Daphnia pulex: one gene and its partners. The protein of the gene in region 1 interacts with the protein of each later gene in a biochemical or structural test. Links are inferred from orthologs where the notes say so. Each region holds a gene or a part of one and is shown in the gene's direction. Other genes may lie near its edges.

What was found.
Region 2: the proteins of calmodulin (region 1) and transient-receptor-potential-like protein interact in a test that uses a peptide from one of them, tested with the Drosophila melanogaster proteins (2 studies listed by BioGRID). The link is inferred for Daphnia pulex from reciprocal best matches to the Drosophila melanogaster genes Cam and trpl.
Region 3: the proteins of calmodulin (region 1) and myosin heavy chain 95F-like form a complex in vitro, tested with the Drosophila melanogaster proteins (2 studies listed by BioGRID). The link is inferred for Daphnia pulex from reciprocal best matches to the Drosophila melanogaster genes Cam and jar.

What each region holds. Positions count from the first base shown.
Region 1 is NC_060018.1:7,623,713-7,628,072, forward strand, and holds the start of calmodulin, read left to right. Parts: upstream 1-1,408; 5' UTR 1,409-1,650; coding exon 1,651-1,653; intron 1,654-2,220; coding exon 2,221-2,395; intron 2,396-2,683; coding exon 2,684-2,926; intron 2,927-3,591; coding exon 3,592-3,620; 3' UTR 3,621-4,360. UniProt on the Drosophila melanogaster protein: Calmodulin mediates the control of a large number of enzymes, ion channels and other proteins by Ca(2+). Among the enzymes to be stimulated by the calmodulin-Ca(2+) complex are a number of protein kinases and phosphatases.
Region 2 is NC_060025.1:5,640,267-5,644,649, forward strand, and holds the start of transient-receptor-potential-like protein, read left to right. Parts: upstream 1-1,522; 5' UTR 1,523-1,584; intron 1,585-2,329; 5' UTR 2,330-2,330; coding exon 2,331-2,390; intron 2,391-2,659; coding exon 2,660-2,781; intron 2,782-3,711; coding exon 3,712-3,823; intron 3,824-3,892; coding exon 3,893-3,970; intron 3,971-4,037; coding exon 4,038-4,094; intron 4,095-4,266; coding exon 4,267-4,383. UniProt on the Drosophila melanogaster protein: A light-sensitive calcium channel that is required for inositide-mediated Ca(2+) entry in the retina during phospholipase C (PLC)-mediated phototransduction. Required for vision in the dark and in dim light. Binds calmodulin.
Region 3 is NC_060017.1:3,746,077-3,750,360, reverse strand, and holds the start of myosin heavy chain 95F-like, read left to right. Parts: upstream 1-1,423; 5' UTR 1,424-1,631; coding exon 1,632-1,706; intron 1,707-1,935; coding exon 1,936-2,119; intron 2,120-2,182; coding exon 2,183-2,386; intron 2,387-2,454; coding exon 2,455-2,619; intron 2,620-2,713; coding exon 2,714-2,990; intron 2,991-3,053; coding exon 3,054-3,107; intron 3,108-3,171; coding exon 3,172-3,526; intron 3,527-3,592; coding exon 3,593-4,211; intron 4,212-4,284. UniProt on the Drosophila melanogaster protein: Myosin is a protein that binds to actin and has ATPase activity that is activated by actin. Together CLIP-190 and jar may coordinate the interaction between the actin and microtubule cytoskeleton.

The sequences.
Region 1 (4,360 bases):
TTATTTTTTGGACCAGCCGCCGTTCCCAGGGGAATTTCTAACGTACAGAGTTTTACAGCGTGTAACAAGAAGACCAGTGAAAACAATTTCCGTGGTGATCGCCCCCCACCCGCCCGACCCTTTTTGGTCTCGCGTCGATTTGATTTGTCCGCCGCAAATAGAAATTAGATTTTACCAATGACTTTTCCCATTTTATTGACTTGCGTGAACGAATTCGTCGCGTACCTTTTTTTTATTTTCACTGGCGCGATGTCGTACCAATGCGGAAAGTTAATTGCATTACATTTGAAAAGTCTGCAGCACCCAACACTTTCTGCACGATGATGGAATTTAAATATTTGACTTTACACTCAGATATTTCGGCATAATTCAGTTAACGGCAAACACAAGTTGCACATTATTCCGTTTCCTTCCCTTTTTTCCCCGTGTGTGTGTGTGCGCCAACTTTTTCAACTTTAGCTACTTTGTGCGGATTGATTGAAACGTTAAGTCGGAATTTGGTTTCGAAATGAAAATGAATAAATACGTACACACTTTACACAAAAGACACGTTTTGGGGCGCAGTTGAATAGATCCCATTATTCGTACTACAATAATAGCTTTCATTTGATGATATTTTCTCATTGAAACATCTCACTTTCGTTTTTGATGTTACATCTCCAAGGCGGATGTATAAAGTGAAAGTTACAAAATCAAGAATTTCCCATAGTGTGCGAGTTTACTCTAGCCTTTTGAAAAGGATGTAGATTTTCTATTAGTTTGGTGGCTAGACTTCTTTTATAAAAAAAAACCCCAACTTTACCCACAGGGGTGCCCTGTAACAATGGTCGAATTTATTTCCGGTCTGAGAGTTGGTACGAATTTATAACATTGGCAACCAATATAGCCCACGCATATATAGGATGTCTTTGAGAGAAGACATGTGTATAGTTTAGCAGCAGCAGCAGCAGCAAGGTCAACAACATTCCGTCTCGCACTGAAGCGTGTCAAGCATAACGCCGAGCCTTTGCAATTACGCCAAATAACATTCGCCACTCTAGCGCAATATCATTTCTATTCAGGGCTGATGGTCTCTCCATATATATAATAAAACCCGAAACTCATATGGACTGACGGTATATAGAAAAGCTTAGAGCTTATACTCATCATTCTTGACGTCTACTGTGCTGCATACATACTACTGCGACGCTGGGACGGCCATATGACAACTTGTATCGGAGTTGATCCGTCCCTGACGGTGTGTGTGTGTGTACCACCGCATTGCTCAATGACTCCCGATTTTGAAAGTCTAGAAAAAGAATTACGGTAAAAGAAGGAGAGAAAAAAAAAAGTCAACTTATTTTATTTTTTGAGGATTCGAAATAGTAAGAAGGTTGCGCTATACCCGGTCAATATACGTAGAGAGAGAAAAGGGCTTCTTCCTCCTCTCCGCAATGTGCATGTGGCGCCTCTAGTCGGGCCCCGCCTCTTTTCCCACTCTCTCTCTTCCTCCGAGCATTCGGCTCAGTTGGCTGTCGTCTGTTGTGCTTGGTGAACGTCCCCCGTCGCTGCTCGTTGTGGTACCGCCTTTGCTCTCTCTCCTGCCCCGTCGTCCAGGATAACTTAGTTTTTTTCCCCGACAACTCTCTATTTCATCCAATAATATCCACTATGGTAAGTACTTCCACGTCGGCATCCTCTCCCAACCGGCACACGAAAATTCCGCCATTTTTAGTGCCTAGCCTACACTTGACGGAAATATAGATTTTATGACTGGAGAAGAGTCGGGTGGGTCGGGGGGAGGGGGAAGTAAAATCAAACGACCTTTTTCTTTTTTTTTTTCTTTTTTCCTATTTTCTTCTCAGATAGTTGTCGCTTTTGACATTGCCGGCTCGTTGTACTGAAACAGGGGGCAATTTGGCCGTCATCGCCCTCGAAATGTCGAATGCTTCTTTCTTTTCTAATTTTGGAGTAGCTCGTAACAGCTTGCTGCTGCACACGTCAATTTAAGCTCGGCACACAACCAGACTTGAAGCTCTCAAACAATATGGTTGCACACTGACCAGACAAGGCCAGTAGTAAAGAGAAAGTTGGTACTGCTAGATTTATTCAGGGCAAATTTACACAGTCTGGTTTGAGCAATGTTAATACCAATCAAGGCTCTCTCTTTATTACTCATGTTGAAATGTCTTGGAATTCTCAAGACAATTATATTAACCAGAAACATTTGTACCTCTACAGGCTGACCAGTTGACAGAAGAACAGATTGCTGAGTTCAAGGAAGCCTTCTCCTTGTTTGACAAAGATGGTGACGGCACCATCACCACCAAAGAGTTGGGAACTGTCATGAGGTCGCTTGGACAGAACCCCACTGAAGCTGAACTCCAGGACATGATCAATGAAGTTGATGCTGATGGTACACACATTATTCAATTTTTCTAATTTATTGCAACTCCAATAGATTATCAAGTATTCTGACAAGTTTGTTTTTGCTGCTTAAGTGGCTTGACTGCTTGATTCTTGGCAGTCAAAAGACTTCCTGAAATATCTGCTCTCTGCTCGCAGAACTTTTCTTGAATGAGAATACTGGCTGCATGTTTTCAATATCAATGAAAATTGTTTTGAACCACGTTCATTTCTTATTGTTCATTTTGTTTCTAATCATACAGAAATCTAATGTAGTTCTTATCATTCTAATCCAAAGGTAACGGAACAATCGACTTCCCCGAGTTTCTGACGATGATGGCTCGCAAAATGAAAGATACCGACAGCGAGGAAGAGATTCGAGAAGCCTTCCGTGTGTTTGACAAGGACGGCAATGGTTTCATTTCAGCTGCTGAGCTCCGGCACGTCATGACCAATCTAGGAGAAAAGTTGACCGACGAAGAAGTCGATGAAATGATTCGCGAAGCTGACATCGACGGAGACGGCCAAGTTAACTATGAAGGTAAAAACTATGATATGTCATGCTCACCTGCATCCAATTTTCTTTTATCGCAGTCGACATCGTCTGTCCGCCTGTTAAACCCTTAGATTTTTAACTAAGCCCTGCATTTACAAATAGTCAGATATCCACATTTTTAGGGAGGTTCTTGCATGCACGTGCGGGTCCCATACTTTCCCAGATGGACCAAAAAATAATGTGGAATATGGAAGTAGAAATATTAATTTAAAAAGCTGCTTTTGGTTCCATGTGTCTAGAAACTATCAAAGACGCACCTTTAATATTCTGTTGGTACACAGACGCATAATTTCTAGACTCTGTGACAAATGTCAATGTGACAACGTAACTCAATTATAAATTTTCTATTTAACAACCATGGCTTAACCTAATCCGATTTTAATCTGATTTTGGAGGCATTCACAAACAGTTTTGGTGTTAGAAACATGATGATGCATCGATTTTAAACCGAAATTAGCGCGTTACCTCTAAAATATTCATCGTCTTTCGTCGTAAAGATTCAGTCCAACCTGGTCCTTTAATATGTGACCTGAATTCCCAAGACGTTTTAAAATTTGATAGTCGATGCAGGACAACTCCTATTTTCCCCCACTTTTGTCTAGTTTATAGTGGAATCGATGATACTAACACGATTTTTCTTATCTTTGCAGAATTCGTGACCATGATGACCTCGAAATGAATAAATCCTGCGGTGTCGTGCCCCTTCCCCAGTGAGCCGTGTGTAGCGTGGACGTGGTTGTGTTTACCGAAACAACAATCAACAACAAAACGTACCATACTTTTCAAAGCAACTGTTTGTAAGACTACAACAACACCCGGCTGACGATACGCAAAACAAGAAAAAGAAAAAAAAAAAAAGAAAATAAGCCAGTTGTCATTGATCTTTCGAGGGCGGCATCCATTTTGTGAAGGGAAAATAACATCACCAGATTTCTGTTTCAAATAGTTTTTTTTTTCCTTTTTTTTTTGCTTTTTTAAAAATATTTTGTGTGTAAAAAAAAACTAACGTCAACGTTACTGTCTAAAAACACTTTGGTTCCCATGCATATAAGCTGCGCTCGTCCAGTGTAGTGTTGTGAACTGCCGTGCTGCTCGGGGATGGAATACTGGACCAAGTTAATTTAAAACAGAATACGAATCGGCAGATTAAGAAAAGAAAAAAAAACATAACATGGGGAATTATTTGTCTTAAAAAAATAAGTGATTTTTTCGTCAGCTGTAGAAGAAATTCGATACATTCACCATCAACCAGAACCCTTCCTCTCGTTTTTACCCTTTCGTTCATATAAAAAAAAACTTGTTTGGTTCAACCTTCATCGTTTGTGTCTAGTTTTGCTCTTTTTCATCCCTTAAATTTTCGTTGTTTTTGAACCATCTGTACACAAAATCGAGCAACGGCTGAGCTGGGTAGTGGTGTGA
Region 2 (4,383 bases), on another chromosome or scaffold:
ATGACAGTATCCTACAAAAAAATCCGAACGGCGATTTTTTTGTTTTGAGCCAACTATCCATATGTCGGGAAACTGTTTGGCTTGGAGGAGCAGGGAGCTGGGAGGGAGCGGGGAGGGCTGGGAGAAGCAGACGATTCTTGACCAAAGGATTGTACCTACGTTAAGAGTCAAGCGTAATAAAAATTTTCGTTCTGCTATCGGCCGCAGTGGTGCGCATCGGCGTAAACTGCGCACGACTTTTTACTCGACTACTACTTTTTCGTTGGAATAACATCTATAGAGCTAACGCAGGTCTATTTTTTTTAAGTCATGTTTTCCTAGCCCTAGCCGTTCAACTGCAAAAAAAGGCCAAAGTGGCCTAATTTGCATAAGATCCTCTCGGCTTTCCAACGACTTTTAGAACGGGTCATAAGTACCTCGGAAAATTTTAAAAAAAATCAGAAAAAAATCAGAGGTGTTCTCACTACCTCTACCTATGTACATACCAAATTTGAAAGCATTTGGTTAAAAACTGTAGTACTGAGAGGACTGAAAAAACAGCGTTTTTCATAAGGTCCTCTCGGGCTTCCAAAGACTTTCGGTAGGTACTGTATACCCAAAAATACGTGTGTTTGAAGCACGTAATCAGTAGAGCAACGGTAAAACGATTGATCACCTTGCCGAATCGGACGACCTGACCCCTGCCGGCAAGCAGGAGCATCGCTTCAGACGGTTCCTCTCAGGCTTATGGAGACGATTGTTGTCTTTACTTCGTAGTCTGTGGTAACAGTCGTCTTTTAGCGAAAATAGGGGCTTCCGCGTTCTCCCTATACCATACACTAGACACTCAACTAGTCAAGATGACGGTCAACCCAAAATAAAGGACTACCTTCATTGTGAGCACATAGAAATCGCTTAAATAAAGAAAATAGTGGGGACGGTGACGATTACCTTAATTTAAAAGAAAATAATCGAAGTAAAAGCGTTGAAGATATAGTAAGAATATATCGAAGTAAGTAAATAATGAGTCGATTTTGCTCGCGGTGGATGAAATTTTCTTGATCCAATCTTAAGAAAAATCAAGGCTGTCCGGGATCCGATGCGTTCCAGGATTTGACCGGTCCCTATGAATGTATTTTTTTTTTTTTTTTGTAGTTGACACAAAGAAAACTCTGAAAAAAAGTGTTTCTTGTATCAATGCAGCACATTTAATTTATCGTGTTATTTAAATAAATGCACGCTAGTAGTGTTCCGCGCGCGATTGAAGACGCATGCGTGTGTGAATGTCTTCTTGACAGAGCGAAATTATTTTGGGGCTGTAGACCCAAATACAAAACCAGGAAATGAATATGTGATGCTTCGTCGGATCTCTAGTACCAGGTTGAGCTAAATAAGGACATTAATTCAATTAGTTGGGGACATGAATCCTCACAAATGAAGCCTGGGTGATACCACCCACTCCAACACCTTCACCCACTTCGTAGTGGCATGTGTACATAATCTGATTGTTTAATGTTAAATACCCAAGGTCGCTTGCTTTCTCCCTGTATATAAGAAATCCAGCAATTCTGTTCACTAGTCAGTTACGAATTCTTCTTCATGCAAGTGAGCGTCAAGTTTCTTCATAAAATCACCCATATATATATACTTGGAAATTGGAATCCATCGCAATTTTACAATAGAACTTTATTTGATAATTTTAGTTACATAAAATAAAGTCTTAACATTATAAATATTTTAAGTGATTTTTCAATAGTGAATATAGTTCTAATTAAAATATGTTGTATATAATGAAAACCGTATCTCAGAAATGATAACTTCATTAAGACTCAGAAATGGCTTTTATATTTATCTATTATTGTATTCACACTTTAGAAAAAAAAATTATGGAAAAACTTTTTTTTTTTGCTGTAAAAACTTCGTTTCACCACGAGTCCGTGACTCAATCAGAATAGATTTTTGAGTTTCGTTTTTGCGGAAATAGTAATTAGGATTTGCATCTAGTCGTAATGCACGCAATTTTGTGCGTAATCTAGTGAAAAATTGAATGTCTCAATCCGCCCAAATGTCCTCAATAGCTGAAAAAAAAATTATTTATTAGCGAAAAACAGAACGGGGGATAGCAAAAAAATCATAAAAGTTAACCTATTCTCTTTCATACCTAAGCTTCAGTTAAGCCTACATTTGAACGTTTGTTTAAAAAATATTTTAATAAATATGAATACAATTAAGAAATTTTTATCCTATGCTTTTGACAGTTTCTGTATAAGTGAAATGAGTAAACCTAGATTTAATTATTGTTCGTTAATATTTTTTGTTTCTATTATTATTCCGGATTTTGTTCGAAAAGAATGGAGAAACCTCCTAACAAAGGTGACGACGTCGTCCCGCAGTTCAGCAACATCGAAGAGGTTTCCGATTTTCTTACTCTTTTTTTTAGTGACTCACAACTGGATTGAAAGAGTTTTTTACTTTTTACCCGCTCATTCTCTCCGCGAGTCTCCTAGCGTTCTAAGTTAGCGCTGCAGTGAGCGATTTCTGTTTTCTGTCTCTGCCTTTTAGCAAAATGAACTCTTATGAAGGAGAAGTCATTTTTTTATTTCTCAGAGATAGAAATTAAGTATGGTACACTGACTGTATACAGTATTAAAATTACTTTTTTTACGAAAACGGCTTTCAGGGATGTATACGAACAGAGAGCTTTCGTGACCTTAAGATGCCTATACTACCCAAATCATTGACACTCGAGGAAAAAAAATTCCTGCTAGCAGTTGAACGAGGAGATCTCACTACTGTTAAAAGGTAATCGTTCATCAAAAATCAGACAACTCAATTCATGGTGCACGGGAAACCAATTTTTGGCTGATGGAGAAAATAAAGTATTAGGATCATTGCAAATTCTAATGTGGATGTAGACAAACCATTTCCTTCGATGATAATGATTGATGGTAATCACGAACACACACTTGATTTAACACTTTTCTCCTTCTTAAGACATTCCGCGATGCTCATTTTGCGGAAACGGAATGTTTTTGGCGTTTATAATTCGAACTGACGTATAACGATTAAAAGTGGAACGAAATCGTAAAAATTTGTTATTGCCAGTAACTAGAAATAATTTGCCTCCAAATTTCAGCATTTGCGCCACACTATGTTTTCGTTATCTGAAAGAAGACCATTGAGAAATGAGTTTGCAGAAAAGTGGTCCGTGTCTGGCAAAAGCTAGCTGACCGGATATAGTTTCATCACTTCCAGGGAATAAAAAAAATATGTATGAAAAGTGAAAAATGGGGTATTATTGGATGTATATCAAGTTTCAGTAATATCTTATAGAATCTAATTAGTTCTCAACCCCGTTCTCAACACATCGCCGTCGAATGAATTTACTTGGACGATGATGATACCAAGTCGCAAGACAGAAATGTTTGTTATTTGTGTTTTGTTTTTTCGTCGCACGTACACTACGTTGATAATCAATCACAATTATAACTGTGATTGCAATCACAAGATATTTATTTCACAATTAATAATTGTGATAAGGATTAATCAGTTTTAGTAGCTTACATCAATGATATGCGATTTAATTGCTTAATAATTATAAATGACCACTTCAATTCACGATTATGCTTATTTACAGTACCGGTAACAATTTCAATTTTATAATTTGTGTGTGATGTATAAGTTATGTAATGTATTTGTAATTTGAAACTTGTCTCAATACTCGTGTATCAGAATAATCCACCGAGTTAAGCGAGGACTTTGCGGTAATTCCATTAACTTGAACTGCGTGGATCCTCTAGGACGAGGGGCTCTCCTTATGGCTATTGATAATGAAAATTTACAGGTTATCAGTACATTTTTAGGAAACCAATCGAGGTTTAAAAAATAATCGATTACTTACTTTTTAAACTAGATGGTGGAGTTATTGGTAGTGATGGGGATTGCCACTAGAGATGCTTTGCTTCATGCTATCGACAAAGAATTCGTTGAGGTAGAGCAAAAATGACCAGCGCAATAAAAATGAGTGTTGAAATTTAAATGTTTCAAATTCATCTTAGGCCGTGGAGCTTCTTCTGGAACACGAGGAGCTCATTCATAAAGAAGGAGATCCATACGTAAGTCGTATTTTTTAACGATTTAAAATTATATGTTTTAGCAACTTTCCATTAATAACCAGCATATAGCGATCTAAGCGATGTGAACTGATCAGTTGCGTTTTGCGTACCAAAACTCAAAATTCAAATTATTAATCTTCTGTATTTTGGTGTCTTTACTATTTGGTTTCAGAGCTGGGAGAACGTGGATCGGACCACTTCTTCTTTTACTCCTGATATTACCCCTCTTATTCTGGCAGCGCATCGTAATAACTACGAGATTCTTAAGATTTTGCTGGACCGTGGAGCA
Region 3 (4,284 bases), on another chromosome or scaffold:
TTATGTGTAATACAATCCGTCATATGTTTGCCGAGGGAAGTTAGGTGAGAAAGAAAAATGAAAGGTTAGTACTTCCTGCCATCCTGAGCCCCCTCCTTTCCTTCGTCCATTTTCATGGCATTATTTTAGGAAATCTAACAGGCATCATATCTTTAAATAATCCCTGACTGAGTGTGTCGTTTAACGTAATCTAAACAAATATTGCTTTTTTTTTAAACATGACTTCACTTGGATTTTATGACTTTTCAAATAGTTTGAGATTTAAGATAGAAGTATTTTTTAAGTTATTTTCATACTACATGATAATGGTTGAATGACCCATGGGAGATCACCGCAACGACATGTTTATGTTCTTGTAAATTTTCCCGGGAAAAAAAAGAAAAACTTTCTCCGGGATTCGTTTTTTTCCCGTTCTCTTTAACTTCGTGCTTTTGTATGAGGTAGTTTGGCCTTAAAAAAAAACTAGCCCTGGAAGATCGGTCCGACTGGTGTATCGAAGCGGTTGACTGGCCAAGTGTAAATCATCTGCCCTCAAATTGAAGCGCTTGTTGTACTTCTTTTTGGCCCTCCCCCTCTTTGCTTTTGTTCGTTCTTATTTCGTTGTGCTTTGGTTTCTGTTTCAACTATTTCCCACTTCCTTTTATCAATCATTAGCGTTTCCGTTTGGTGGGGCTGGCCAGTTTATTGCGCTAGTTGGAAATTCATTTCACACGGATAGAAAAGTTGGAACAAACAAAACCCACACGGCATATCCCTTGCGCTATAGCACTTGCACAGCAGACCAGAGCTGCTGCTGATAATAACAGTTCTCTTCGTGTTCGAAATTCTTTGACTGGATTTTCACCTTTTTTCAGAAAGCATCCAGCGGCAACGGCGATGTGAACGAATCCGAGGGGTTTTTGTGGGCTAAGACGAGGATGATCATTCGACCATCTGCTGTTGGTTGTGCATGCGCTCGTAGCGGGTGAACAACCTTGAGGTTTTTCACCGGAATCTTCAACTATTTTTTTATCCCGTTTCCGAATATCTTTCTCCTGTTGTACACATGTCTTTTGTGTCATTAGAAATTCAAGAATTAAATGTCTTATTTATAGTTAACTGCTGCGACGAAATAGCATTAGCAGATGGCTATGGTTATAATGCAATGTCAGATTATTCTAGCACGATAAATGATCGTTCGGTCTTATTTCATATCTTGTTTCATATGTACATATCTGAGTAACGTTCGACAACCCTATTCTCCTGCTTTATCTCTAATAATCCAAAGTATTTTCCGTTATTGTCTTAATGGGGATTTTTTGTAGCGATTTTCCTGATTTCCTTATTCGAGGTTTTTTTCCTATTTATTTACATTCTGATGCACGAAGAAGTGTAAGGGTTGAAATTATTAATTTAAAGTTGCAACCTTGTTGCTACCTGCTACTGTCCTTTGTTACTGTTGTAAACTGGATTACTGTTAACTGGTTTCTGGCAGTCTAGAAACTCTAGATAGACAGGTCCTATTTGATGACGTTTCCATCATCGTCTGCTCTGCTTTTTGTCTGTGGCAGTCATTCTGCCATTTGGAGTTTGAGACTTCAAGCTGACACTTGTGCAAATGCGAATCGAAATTGTACCAAACAAACTTTAGTATGGCAGCAAAAGGTTGTAAGATACAAGAATCGTCTTCCGCGCCCGAAAATGCGCCGGTAACACCAAAAGTGATGGTACGAAAATATTTACAGGAACACAAAGGCTCGTTATTCAATTATGTGGCCTGGTAACCTGTCGCTTTTGTCGGCTATAGCAGTCTAGTGGTTGACAAATGAAACCCCAACATTGAAGCGCGTTGAGCGCTATGGCTTGAAAATGTTTTTGAAAATTTGACAGTCAAGGTTCAATGTTGTGAATTTTTTATTAATTGATCTGCTGTTTGTGTTTTTTTGTGTTTTTCAGATGGATAACCAAAAAGTGTGGGTTCCTGATGTTCACAGAGGTTTCATATTGGGCAAAATAGTAGATTTGGGAAGTGAAGCAATAACTGTCCTGCCTATCGAACAAGGATTGAAGGAGATTAGGTGTCCATATGATCGTGTGTATCCTGCAGGAGAAGACGACAACAAAGATGTTGATGACAATTGTAATATTTTTATTGTTGATTCACCATGAAATTTTAATAATCATCATAACTTGTATTTCATAGGTTCTTTGATGTTTCTAAATGAAGCCACTTTTCTCAACAATGTTGCATTACGCTACAAGAGAGATCAAATTTACACTTATGTGGCTAACATTCTGATTGCAGTGAATCCCTACTTTGAAATCAAGGGGCTCTATAGCAAAGATGCTATCAAGAAATACCAAGGGAAATCACTTGGAACATTGCCTCCACATGTGTTTGCTGTTGGTAAATAGTTCATCAGTAATGCTAACAAATAATACTTTACTTATTTTTTTATTATTTTATGTATGCAGTTGACAAAGCTTTTAGGGATATGAGAGTATTAAAACAATCCCAGTCCATTGTGGTGTCGGGAGAATCTGGAGCTGGAAAAACTGAATCAACCAAGTATATCCTTAGGTATCTTTGTGAATCAGGGGGGCTGTCAGCTGGACCTATTGAACAACAAATTCTTGACGGTAAAAAATTATAGATCTTGAATCTTGATCGTTGATTTGATTTAAAGTGGCCATTAAACCTAGGATAACGATAACGTTTTTTTTTAATACACAGCTAATCCACTTTTGGAAGCTTTTGGAAATGCTAAAACTACGCGAAACAACAACAGCAGTCGTTTTGGAAAATTTATTGAAATCCATTTTACATCCAAATATACCATCGCTGGTGGCTTTATATCTCATTACTTACTTGAGAAGTCGCGTATTGTGACACAAAGCAAAGAAGAGCGCAACTATCACTTTTTTTATCAACTGTGTGCTGGCGCTTCTGAAAAGCTCAAGGGACAACTCCAGTTGCGTAGCCCTGACCACTTTCACTACCTTTCTCAAGGGTATGCCACAATTAATAGCTTTATTCAATTAAATTTTTATCGTTATTAACCACATTAAATTAGGTGTACCCAGTATTTTCTTTCAAAGGGTTCCGATAGCTCAATAGATCCTAATAGGTAATAGTTGTCATTTTTCTAAATAAGTGTATAAAATTTCCTATTGATAATTTGTAATATTCAGGAAGAGTAAAGAGCATCGAAGCCGAGGATCGTTAAACGATCCATTGCTGGACGATGCCAACGACTTCAAGCAAACTGACAAAGCATTGAGTAATTTAGGGATGTCGGACGATGAGAAACTTGCTATTTATTCTGCCGTAGCCGCAATTCTGCATCTTGGAAATATAACATTCGAAGACAATGCTGAAGATGCCCGTGGTGGTTGTCAAATAGCGAAATCCAGCCATGAAGCATTACGAAACGCCTCGGCTTTGATCGGTGTGGATCCAGAAGAACTCCATCATGCCCTACTTTCCCGAGTAATGCAGCCAAGTAAAGGAGGCATAAAGGGTACTGTCATCATGGTTCCACTGAAGGTATTCATGCCTCGATATTTTGAGTATTCATTCCGTGTACTGAACACATGTGCTAACTTCGTTTAGGTTTTCGAAGCCAGCAATGCCCGTGATGCTTTAGCAAAAGCTATTTATAGCCGCCTATTTGACTATATCGTCCATCGGATCAACCAAAGCATTCCATTCCAGTCATCCATGCACTATGTCGGTGTACTAGATATTGCCGGCTTCGAGTATTTCACCGTCAACAGTTTTGAACAATTTTGCATCAATTACTGCAATGAAAAACTACAACAGTTTTTCAACGAGCGAATCTTGAAGGAGGAACAACTTTTGTATGATAAGGAGGGTTTAGGTGTTAAAAAAATCGTGTACGTAGATAATCAGGATTGCATCGATCTGATTGAGGCCCGCACCAGCGGAATATTTTATCTCCTGGATGAAGAATCAAAGTTGCCTAAATCGAACCATACGCATTTCACTTCCACCGTTCACTCGGCCAACCCTAACCACTTCCGTTTAGCTCTGCCACGAAAATCTAAATTGCGGGACCACCGGGAAATTCGCGATGACGAAGGATTTTTGATCCGTCATTTTGCCGGAGCTGTTTGCTACCAGACGGCCAAGTTCATTGAAAAAAATAATGATGCCCTTCACGCTTCCCTCGAGTGCATCATCCAGGAGAGCCACAACCCTTTTCTCAAAAGTGATTATTTTTGGAAATATCCACATTTGAATTGTAGTTCTATCGTTATTAAATTGGAAAATTTAACGTATTT